Linked DNA regions of Arabidopsis thaliana. The protein of the gene in region 2 interacts with the protein of the main gene of each other region in a biochemical or structural test. Each region holds a gene or a part of one and is shown on either strand. Other genes may lie near its edges.

The links.
Region 1: of the proteins of PGGT-I (region 2) and RAC3, one has a biochemical effect on the other in vitro, tested with the Arabidopsis thaliana proteins (one study listed by BioGRID).
Region 3: of the proteins of PGGT-I (region 2) and GG1, one has a biochemical effect on the other in vitro, tested with the Arabidopsis thaliana proteins (one study listed by BioGRID).

What each region holds. Positions count from the first base shown.
Region 1 is NC_003075.7:16,670,209-16,673,961, reverse strand, and holds the start of RAC3 (RAC-like 3), read right to left. Parts: upstream 1,771-3,753; 5' UTR 1,719-1,770; exon of another isoform or gene 1,542-1,718; intron 1,179-1,541; exon of another isoform or gene 1,131-1,178; 5' UTR 1,108-1,130; intron 1,044-1,107; exon of another isoform or gene 997-1,043; 5' UTR 787-996; coding exon 688-786; intron 384-687; coding exon 296-383; intron 212-295; coding exon 102-211; intron 1-101. Other genes in the region: BGAL11 (beta-galactosidase 11), read left to right, coding at 1,988-2,197, 2,291-2,386, 2,485-2,597, 2,683-2,749, 2,839-2,931, 3,023-3,166, 3,248-3,342, 3,435-3,540 and 1 more. UniProt on the Arabidopsis thaliana protein: Inactive GDP-bound Rho GTPases reside in the cytosol, are found in a complex with Rho GDP-dissociation inhibitors (Rho GDIs), and are released from the GDI protein in order to translocate to membranes upon activation.
Region 2 is NC_003071.7:16,499,779-16,503,531, reverse strand, and holds the start of PGGT-I (Prenyltransferase family protein), read right to left. Parts: upstream 1,962-3,753; 5' UTR 1,867-1,961; coding exon 1,624-1,866; intron 1,536-1,623; coding exon 1,460-1,535; intron 1,366-1,459; coding exon 1,307-1,365; intron 1,212-1,306; coding exon 1,072-1,211; intron 874-1,071; coding exon 818-873; intron 726-817; coding exon 649-725; intron 547-648; coding exon 501-546; intron 244-500; coding exon 119-243; intron 19-118; coding exon 1-18. Other genes in the region: AT2G39540 (Gibberellin-regulated family protein), read right to left, coding at 2,291-2,472, 2,585-2,666. UniProt on the Arabidopsis thaliana protein: Catalyzes the transfer of a geranyl-geranyl moiety from geranyl-geranyl pyrophosphate to a cysteine at the fourth position from the C-terminus of proteins having the C-terminal sequence Cys-aliphatic-aliphatic-X (CaaX).
Region 3 is NC_003074.8:23,415,631-23,419,383, reverse strand, and holds GG1 (Ggamma-subunit 1), read right to left. Parts: upstream 2,136-3,753; 5' UTR 2,122-2,135; coding exon 1,888-2,121; intron 1,377-1,887; coding exon 1,324-1,376; intron 1,184-1,323; coding exon 1,139-1,183; intron 1,064-1,138; coding exon 979-1,063; 3' UTR 403-978; downstream 1-402. Other genes in the region: APG1 (S-adenosyl-L-methionine-dependent methyltransferases superfamily protein), read left to right, coding at 2,382-2,932, 3,027-3,333, 3,410-3,568. UniProt on the Arabidopsis thaliana protein: Guanine nucleotide-binding proteins (G proteins) are involved as a modulator or transducer in various transmembrane signaling systems.

The DNA.
Region 1 (3,753 bases), on a different chromosome or scaffold from region 2:
TAAGAATCAAAAGCAAGATACCAAATGTATTCTATCAGAATCACTGAATGTAAACTGAATAAAACAGGAAAGAAGTTTCAGGAGAAGACCACAGATCAAACCTTTTTAGAAACATTTTCATAGCTAGCTTTGCTGACAAGTGAGAATGCAAGTAAGAAGACATCTGCACCGCGATAGCTCAAAGGTCTTAGTCTATTGTAGTCCTCTTGCCCTGTTTCACCAAGTCAAAAACACAAATGACTCTCTGGAAGAGGAGGAAATTCAAAAGACAAAAAAATCCAAGGTAACAACTTGCCTGCAGTATCCCACAATCCCAAGTTGATAGTGTTGCCATCAACAATCACATTGGCACTGAAATTATCGAACACAGTTGGCACATAATCCTGTCACATAGAAAATTCCACTAAAACATCAGCTACAAAATCTCCTTACAGAAAGTTACCTAACACTCTTTCTAAGATCATTAAACAGATCAACAACATTGCTACGGTACATGAATCTCTGAGTCTCTCAAATCCTAAAGATCACATCAGTACATTCACTAAGGTAGCAGAAAGAAGAAGACTTTAAGAAAACCTAACAAATACTTGTGACTAAATCCAACTCATAAGCTTCAACAACAAAACCAACTTCACCAAGCTAAAATTTCACGAAATCAAAGTAAAAGAAGAGAACTTTAAAGCTAACCGTGGGGAAAGTGTTGCTAGTGTAGGAGATGAGAAGACAAGTCTTTCCAACAGCACCGTCGCCGACAGTGACACACTTGATAAACCTTGAAGCACTCATCTTTCTCTCCTTCTTCAAACTTCAAAAACCCTAATTTGTTCACGAATTGGGGATTTTTGACTAAAGAGAGAGAGAGTGAGGTTCTTTAAAGAGAAAGAAGACAAAGAAATAGCTGCTGAAAGTCTCTCCCAGACTAGAGTCTTCCTAATTTTTACTACTCATCCTCACATGCACCTCAATTTCTTGGTCTTCTTCTTCCTTTTTTTTCTTCTTTTTACTAAAATTTTATAAAATAGCATTTCTTCTTAGATAGTGCGTTTCCCAACATAAGACCCTACAAAAATTTATGGGATGAAAATTATAATAATAATTTCTATGTACTTTTTTTTTTTTTTTTTTTTAAACTTCGTTTTCATCTAATACTATGCAGCCCATATACTAAATGCCTAAATCTATACATATTTAGATTGATCTTTAAATATCAATAAAAAATTTAGCTAAATTTTGACTGGTTTAGAGGATTTTTCCGATGTGTCATTAGGATTATACAACTATGGTTTAAATATCAATAAAAAATATAGCTGGTTTTACAATGCAATATGATTGGAGTGTTAATTTTTATTGATCAGCCTCCTTTGGATACATATTCTTCTGTTACATGTTAAATGATAATATTTTTGTCCCGGTATGTTGAAGTAAACATTAAAAATGTACATACAACTTCTCTAAGAAATAAATGTTGAGACACTAAAAAAAACGTGAACTTAAGGTCAATATTTAATATTTTTATAACCAATCACGGTATAAAGGCTTACCTTTTGAATCTGTCTAGCTAGTTATTGACCGTTAATTTTAAAAACACTTATTGACCGTTAAAGAATCTGTTATGGGGACCCAAAAAAAACGAATGGTAATTTCACTAATTTGTTATGTTATGTCCAACATAATAGGCGAAGAATAGGGTGAAACCAACATTTAAAAATAGCAAAAACAAATTAAAAAAAAAAAATCGAAAAGGAAAAATGAAGAGAGTTTCAAAGTTACAACGGTGGATTCTATTTCAGACGCGTAAATTTCTCCGGAAACCTGAAAACCTGAGTGCGAAACATTCTCTTATATCATCCTCTTTTCTGAAAGCTTGTTATTTGAGCTCTCCTTGTTTTTTATTCCTCCGACAAGGACGAGGTTCCAAGAGAACTTAGCTTCTTGTTCTACGTACGACACCAAAAATTAATTCAAAAAAGAAAAAGAAGAGAGTTCAATGAGAAAACATTCTCTTGATCGATGGCTTTTAACAGCTGTTCTTGTCGTTCTCCTCTCGTCTTCTTCCTCCTTCGCGGCCAAGAAGGACGCCAAGAAGAAGAAGAAGAGTAATAAGGAGGTGACATATGATGGAACCTCTTTGATCATCGATGGCAAAAGAGAGCTTCTTTATTCTGGCTCTATTCATTACCCGAGAAGCACTCCGGAAGTATTTATTGAATCACATAATCTCTGTTTTTCTAAAACGTTTTTTTTTTTTTTTTGTATATTGAGATTATTGTGTCATTTGGGTTTGGTTTAGATGTGGCCAAGTATCATCAAGAGAGCCAAGCAAGGCGGTTTGAACACGATTCAGACATACGTTTTCTGGAATGTACATGAGCCTCAACAAGGAAAGGTAATTCATAACCAAAAACTGATCTATATATAGAACATATAAAACACGCATGCATGAATCTTTAGGATTCATAATGTATTTTGTGTTGCGTTCATCAGTTCAACTTTTCGGGACGAGCTGATTTGGTGAAGTTCATAAAGTTGATTCAAAAGAATGGAATGTATGTGACCTTAAGGCTTGGACCGTTCATCCAAGCTGAATGGACTCATGGGTAATAATGCATTGCTTCTTCTTCTTTTTCGGCGTTCTCAAGATCTTCATTTTAACATTTTATATGATCTCTTTGTGATGATCAGAGGACTTCCTTATTGGCTTAGAGAAGTTCCTGGAATTTTCTTCCGTACAGACAATAAACAATTCAAGGTATTATACATAGAATTACTATATATATGTCAATGTGTGTTTTGTTACAATTAGATATATTACAAGATATGACCATAAAAATATTGCAGGAGCATACAGAAAGGTATGTACGGATGATACTCGACAAAATGAAGGAGGAAAGATTGTTTGCGTCACAAGGAGGCCCCATTATATTAGGACAGGTGACAACAAAGAAAAGAGAAACCTATATATTTATATATGATTTGAAAAATGTTATAAAATGATGAGTTTTGGAATGAATATGAATTGCAGATAGAAAACGAATATAGCGCGGTTCAACGTGCATATAAACAAGACGGGTTAAACTACATTAAATGGGCATCTAATTTGGTGGACTCAATGAAACTCGGGATCCCATGGGTTATGTGCAAGCAGAACGACGCTCCTGATCCTATGGTAAAGTTCATTTTTACATGATTGTGTTTTATCCGAATGAGGAAGAAAGTTTTAAAATATTTGAAAACACTGTGGAAACAGATCAATGCTTGTAATGGAAGACATTGCGGTGATACTTTCCCCGGTCCAAACAGAGAAAACAAACCATCTTTATGGACTGAGAATTGGACTACTCAGTGAGTTTGTTTTTCTTACTCTTGAATTAAACATGTAAAAACCTTAGGTTCATTCATATAAGTGTTGAATATCTTGCCAATTTCTTCAATAGGTTCCGCGTGTTTGGTGATCCGCCAACTCAAAGATCAGTAGAAGATATCGCGTATTCAGTTGCTCGATTCTTCTCCAAGAACGGAACCCATGTCAACTACTACATGGTAAAAATTATGATCCATTCGAGTTAACCATATATGCAAAAATGATTGTCAAAATTCTCAAAATGGTTCTTTAATCTTGTAGTACCACGGAGGGACTAACTTTGGAAGAACCTCTGCACATTATGTGACCACTAGATACTACGATGATGCACCTCTTGATGAATATGGTTTAGAGAAAGAGCCTAAGTATGGTCATCTTAAGCATCTTCACAA
Region 2 (3,753 bases):
ACCATCATTTGCTTGTCTCTACAGGCAAGGTAAGAAAAAATTTCAGATCACTCAGGCCATTACGAATCTAAAGGTAATATTTATGAGGTGAAAGTTAACAGATTTTATGAAGCAGTACCTGTAGGCACCAGTTGAGAAGTAATGAAGGGTCTATTATTGAACTGGATGAATCATTTGACAGCAGATCAACTCCAATGTATCCCATCAACCGAAGGGATGCAATAGCACAGTAAGTGGCACCACCTGCATAACTAAGTTGCAGAACGTAGGTAAGCATCATACACGAGTGGAGTCAATTAAACACATTTCCCTCATAACGTAAGAACATAGTAAACTTCTTTTCTTTATGGGTTGCCATTGAAGTAGAAACCTAGATGAAGGAACTAAATTATCTAAAGTGTCCTCAATGATCAATTCAGTAATAACATATGCGCCACTTAGTTGGACTGCACATGGAAAAAATCAACTGTGAGATAGTAGAAAAATTGTTTTCAACTCACCATGAGATTCAGAACCAGGGATCAATCCAAAACCACCATCATATGACTGCACAAAGAATGTTGCACAAGAATGTCTTCTCAACACAGAAATTGACAAATATCAATGGAAGAAAAAAAGACAAAAGCAACTACAAGATCAGAAGTAAACCTGACAGTTTAATATGTAGTTCTTAGCACTCTCCTTATCCATTCCACTCCAACTATCCAGCATGTAACAGATTGCAGCTGAACCACAAAAAAAAAAAAAAACTAGATTGATACTCTACGTAAAGTATAAAGACATGGTATGTAAATCCTGTTAGGTAGCTATTCCTTACCTGCACAATATACAAATCGAAGATCCGTTTCACCTCCAATATGGATAGGCATGAAGCTGTAGCAAAATAAAAAAGTATCAAACACAATTCAGACCCCATTGCTTATTTAATCATTATATGCTGACAAGCCAAACTTGTTGCACCATGTAAATGAGAATATTGCTAGCCTAAACGACTTAGAACAAAGAAAATAAGTAATAAACTTATGGCATTATAAAATGCATTTTACTTTTTTAAGCTCTAAGAACTAATACCTTCCATCATCCTGTTGAAGGTTTATCATGGAAATTAGCAATGATTTTGAGTCGATGGTCGAGAGATCATGTCCAATGACCTTCAGAATAGCCAAAGCACAGTAAGTGCTTGCCAAGTGACTACCGTTGTGCTTTAAATCCTACGCAACAAACTAAACTGTCAAGCCCACACAGATGCAAAACAAAGATAAATCTTGTAACATATAAAGCATAAGGAATATAGACTTATAATTACCCCATTCTCATCAATGGGAAACTGAGAACTCCTTGAACCAAAGAAACCATAGAATTCTCCTGCAGAGAAGAACAAGAACATCTCATTCATTGATCACTAACTAATTAACAATTTGCTCATAAACATACTTCTAACTAAATTCAAGAAAAATACCATCTTTCAGTGAAACTCTGTTAGTAGGAAAGGCCTGGAAGGACAAAACCCACTTTGCAACAACATCTTTATCAACCTTCAGAAATTATAGATGAAATTCACTAAATCAGATTCAGGGGAAAAACAAAGATCGATTCTTTGAGAGAGAGGAGAAAGAGACTAACACGGTCTCTTGCGCCGAGAAAATGAAGACCCGAGATTATGAAATGAGCGAGTGTAAGACGATTGATCTCCTGAGATTGGTAATGGTACGGAAGCAACTCGTACATCATCTCCAAATACATCAAGTGTCGATCTTTCTCGAAATTCGCTGACGGAGATGATTGCACCGGTGGAGAATACTCTTCTTCGTCTTCTTCCTCCGACTTAGATCGGTCCGAATCGATTGACACGGCGGTCTCTGACATAGCGTCGTTCTCCGGTAGTGAGTCAACGAATCTCTCAAAACTCGCTTGGACTCACTCGGCTTTGCTTTCTCTTAGAGGAAAGTAAACAGTTTTTGGATCTGTGGTTTTCAAAAGTCAAAAACAGCACGATGTTACTTTGTATAATCACAAAACGGCGCAATGTTTAGGTGCTCTGATAATTATCTACATGATTAAAGATTAAAGATTCGTTGATGTGTTAAGAAATTAGATTAAAGATTAAAAATGAGATTGAGAAATTTAAACTTTTTTATTCGTGATATATATTAAGATATCACATTGAAGATTTCCAACATTGGGGGCATTGATTTTATTTTATATATTTCAAACATAGAATGTGATTAATATTTCCACACATATAGTACGTAGAAGTTATATGTATGTGATGAGGATCTTCAAAGAACGTTCAAGGACACTTGGATCCACCTTTGGAGTTTTTCATATCACGGTAGCAAGGACATTCATCTTTGTGTCCAAAAGTTCCCGAAGGAACACAATTACACTTCTGGCAACATATATTGCAGTACTTGAGGCATTCTTCATGTTGTCCTGCCTTTGAGCATCTCACATTGCACTTTCCACCGCATGCTGCTAATTCATTTATCACATATATATGTAAAATCTTAGAATTTCAGAAAACTTGTTTCAAAATGATACATGCATGACCTACAATTATTAACTAGATTAAGTAAACACTTACACGAATCAGCACTTGAAAGTACAGAAAATGAAGATGTGAGGAGAAGAGAGATTATGAAGAATTGTACAACCACGAGCTTCATCTTGTTTTCTCGAAAGAGTTTGCTACGTATACAAAATTTAAAGATATGCGAAAACAAAGTAGTGATGGTGAAATGTGGCTACAAAGAGAGGAATCCTTAATAGTGAGAATTTGAAGTGAAATTAATGTTTGTTACTTTAAATAAAGATATCTTTACTTGTTATGTCGGTACTATTTTCAGTTAAAAATATTAACATACAGAAAAAACCATATTCATAAACTTTTTTGACTAAGTAAGTAGTATAATACTAGTATTGAAAGTTTTTTTTGTAACCAGTATTGAAGCATTTTTTAAATTGTAAATTTATTTCTTATAGTGCACATTCATTTCGAATTACATGAACTTACAACAATTTTGAGATATTTTTGAAATCCTGATGAATGATGATTATGACACACAGTTTGTAACACTAACAAATATTCATTTTTATTATTATGTATAACTATTGAAATTCCTTAAGTCACATCTAATATATATTATAGATTAAAAGTATAGCATTAGATGTTGAAAAAAAAAGATTTAACTGTAGTAATAAGCAAGAAGACAGTGAGCCGCCCTTCAAGCACGGCGATGCATGTGGCAGATTGATTCTTAGGAATTGACTCAACTTTTTCGGTCTTCGTTGACTATATATTCAAAAATTGTAAAATTTAACTCAAACAAAAATGTACCTCTTGTTACATGTATTTTGTTCCTCTAAACAGTATGAAAAAAAAACTAAGTTTTCTTTTTAATACGAATGATTGCACCTAAAATTGATAGACGACTAAGTCTATACTGTTACATTAGATGGAAACATGGTTTGAATTATCGCTGCTAGGTGTCCAACTCGAACTTTGTACAGTTGTACTAGGATTCTAATGATTTGCTATGCATATAAAATACATTGTGGCGCAAAAATTACGCTAGTCGCATATTTCTTTTTTGGTTTGTTTGTTTGATTGCATAATTATGATTTGATGTCAAAAGTTGTATAATCAGAATTTGAGAACAATAATATGACAAAGAAAAACATTCTTTTTTCTCAGTTAGATGTAGATACAAGCTTTGTCCAAAAAAAAAAAAAGATATAGATAATAAAAATAAT
Region 3 (3,753 bases), on a different chromosome or scaffold from region 2:
AACGTGCTTCTTCCGGCTGCTCAATCATTTTTCTTTTGGACCAACTCACATCTCTGTGTTAATTTCTCTTCTGTTTATATAACAAATTCATACTACAAACTTTGATCAATTTTTTTTTATTTATGGGAGAAGAAGGAGCTCTAATGAGGTCATCAACTTTGATCTTGACCAATGAGGCAATGAAAACAGATGACATACTACTGTATATCCAAAGGTTGTCAGAAAACCCACCTTACCAGTATTTGTTTACTCATCACAAATTTGAGGAATATTTTGGAATGCATAAACTATCTTTTTAGCTGTCGAATAAACTTACCGTAAATCACTTCTACTAATACCCTCTACATTTCTCAATTTTTTTTTTAAACCTCATAACTTGTTTTAATTTTTGAGACATAGAAAGAAAAAAACAAAAGGGGGTTCTACTTTAACAGACTGTAATAATACAGAAGTGGAGGAGAAGAGTAATAAGTAATAATAAAAAGACAACAGATGAGGCATGTGCTCTGTGTTCCATTATCGTTCTATCTATATAATAAACATAGGTATGTATGTATTCTGATCCTCGAAACTAGCGTGTGTGTATCATGGAGGGTGGATGTGGCCAAAAGTTATCTAAAAAGAAAAAAGAGAGACACACTTAACGGTCTTCAAGATTGTACCCACTTCCTCATTAGCTATTACTCTATTAGCCCCCAAATATCACTATGCACATTTCAGCTTCTTTCAACAAGATCTAGAATAAGAAGATGAGAAGCTGTAAGCCTGAAACTCCATTACTCGTATGTCAGATCCGGATCCCATACATTACATATACATATAATACTGTTTACGTAGGTGCAACTAAGCCGTTCTATGCAATTCCAATGCTCATTAATCTGTACGCTTTTTCTCTGCTACAGCCCCATTTTGGATCCCATGTAAAATGATATCCTAGCAAGAAACTAGTATATGTAACACATTACTCTGTCTAGCGAATCAAAGTATTAAGCATCTGCAGCCTTCTCCTCCATTTGGTCCTTCAAACCACCGGTCCCATCCTAAGTTCAAAGGTCCATTGGTTCTGCCAGCACCACAACATCCATCAGTTATTCAGTCCAAACCAACACTAGAGTTTCAAGGTTTAAAAAGCACTCACAGTGGCAACAGAGGATCGGGTCCTTTCTCGATGACAGATAGCAGCCTGCGAACCAAGGGAATATCAATTTGATCACCAATCAACGTACAAGTTTCAGTCAAATCCAGATAATATACCTACAGGAGCTAGCACACAGTTGCTTGCAAGCGTTAAAAAAAAACATAGGTTGAGTATCCCATACTTACTCCTCACACACGGTTGATACAATATCTGTGTTCTCGACCTCCTTCAACTCTTTCTGGATATAGTACATGAAACAGAAAGAGAGAGTAAAGCTATTTTTAGTAAGTGTTAGAGCTCACTAGTAGGAACAATAGGCAAACACATTATCTGTGCAACAGAGAAACTTGGGAGAAGGTTAACTTTTAACATGCCTCGATAGATGATAACCAAGAGAGAATGATACTAATTGGACTATGATCAAAAGTATTCTTGCACATCCCTAAGAATAAGATCAACAGAGAACCATTCCAATAGTGGATCCAAAGAGAACCCAGCAGATTTAGATTTTGGGAATACAATTCATAGAGTCATAAACAAGACTGACTGAAATGGTGCCACTTATTGTCAAGAGAACTACCATGCTCTTCTGATTGGAACAGATCTGCCATACTGGTTTTTGCTTTCACAGGAAACAATCTTAGCGACCTTTACCTAATTGTTGTAACAATTGATCTAAAAAGGATAATTGAGCTATCCACGAGAGACCTACGTCGGAATTTGAAAGAGATACGAGTTAGTTTAGCTACCTCCAAGAAAGCGACTTCCTGTTCAACGCGGGCAAGCTCTGCAAGGATCCTGTGCTTGCCCCCGCCGTGAGAAACAGACTCCTCCTGCTCGTAAACCACAGTTTCCTCTCGCATCCTCTCGCTAGCAGGTCGCAGATCTGACAACGTCAGAGAGAGTCTGGTCTTAGTCCGTACAAGTTTGAATTGTCGTCGAAGTCTCTCTCTCTCTGACTCAAATCGACTTTTCCCTTCCATTTGCAGAAAAATGCCAAAACGCCCAATACTATTATTTGGGCCAATTCTTGCAAATGAGCCCATGGGCTCAACAAAGGGATATGTGTTGTCGCAACAAACAACGTGACCGTACATAAACATGTGGTTGGAGTCAGTACTGACTCTGTTAGAGTTAGAGGGTTTAGTCACACTCTCATTCTCGTTTGTGTTTTTGATTGGCGGAGAATTGGTGATAGATAAGCTTCTTCTTCCCTCTTCTCAACTTGGTGGATCTGTCATCGATGGCCTCTTTGATGCTCAACGGGGCCATTACCTTCCCCAAAGGTTTAGGTTCCCCTGGTTCCAATTTGCATGCCAGATCGATTCCTCGGCCGACCTTACTCTCAGTTACCCGAACCTCCACACCTAGACTCTCGGTGGCTACTAGATGCAGCAGCAGCAGCGTGTCGTCTTCCCGGCCATCGGCGCAACCTAGGTTCATTCAGCACAAGAAGGAGGCTTACTGGTTCTACAGGTTCTTATCCATCGTATACGACCATGTCATCAATCCTGGGCATTGGACCGAGGATATGAGAGACGACGCTCTTGAGCCAGCGGATCTCAGCCATCCGGACATGCGAGTGGTCGATGTCGGCGGCGGAACTGGTTTCACTACTCTGGGCATAGTCAAGACAGTGAAGGCCAAGAATGTGACCATTCTGGACCAGTCGCCACATCAGCTGGCCAAAGCAAAGCAAAAGGAGCCGTTGAAAGAATGCAAGATCGTCGAGGGAGATGCTGAGGATCTTCCTTTTCCAACCGATTATGCTGACAGATACGTTTCTGCTGGAAGGTATCCTTTTCTTCTTCTTCTTCTTCTTCTTCTTCTTCTTCTTATAATCGTCTTCTTTCCGGTGGGTTTGATTGTGTGTCTCATCATCACACAGCATTGAGTACTGGCCGGACCCGCAGAGGGGAATAAGGGAAGCGTACAGGGTTCTCAAGATCGGTGGCAAAGCGTGTCTCATCGGCCCTGTCTACCCAACCTTCTGGCTCTCTCGCTTCTTTTCTGATGTCTGGATGCTCTTCCCCAAGGAGGAAGAGTACATTGAGTGGTTCAAGAATGCCGGTTTCAAGGACGTTCAGCTCAAGAGGATTGGCCCCAAGTGGTACCGTGGTGTTCGCAGGCACGGCCTTATCATGGGATGTTCTGTCACTGGTGTTAAACCTGCCTCCGGTGACTCTCCTCTCCAGGTCTTTTACCTCCCACTTCACCTTTTTTACTTTCTTCTCTCTTTGATACACTAAACTTATCACTCAAATGCTGCAGCTTGGTCCAAAGGAAGAGGACGTAGAGAAGCCTGTCAACAACCCCTTCTCCTTCTTGGGACGCTTCCTCCTGGGAACTCTAGCAGCTGCCTGGTTTGTGTTAATCCCTATCTACATGTGGATCAAGGATCAGATCGTTCCCAAAGACCAACCCATCTGATCCTTCTCTTCTAGGACATGATCATTGTATCATTGTAAACCCCTCTTGTGGTAAAGAAAGATTCGAGTCCTATCTATGAACATGCGGAATATCATTAACCTTCTTTCTTTACATGTATTACTAGATTTTCATGTTGAGATATCTATGCTACTTGTTCGATAAATTTTCTACAAACTTCGATTCCC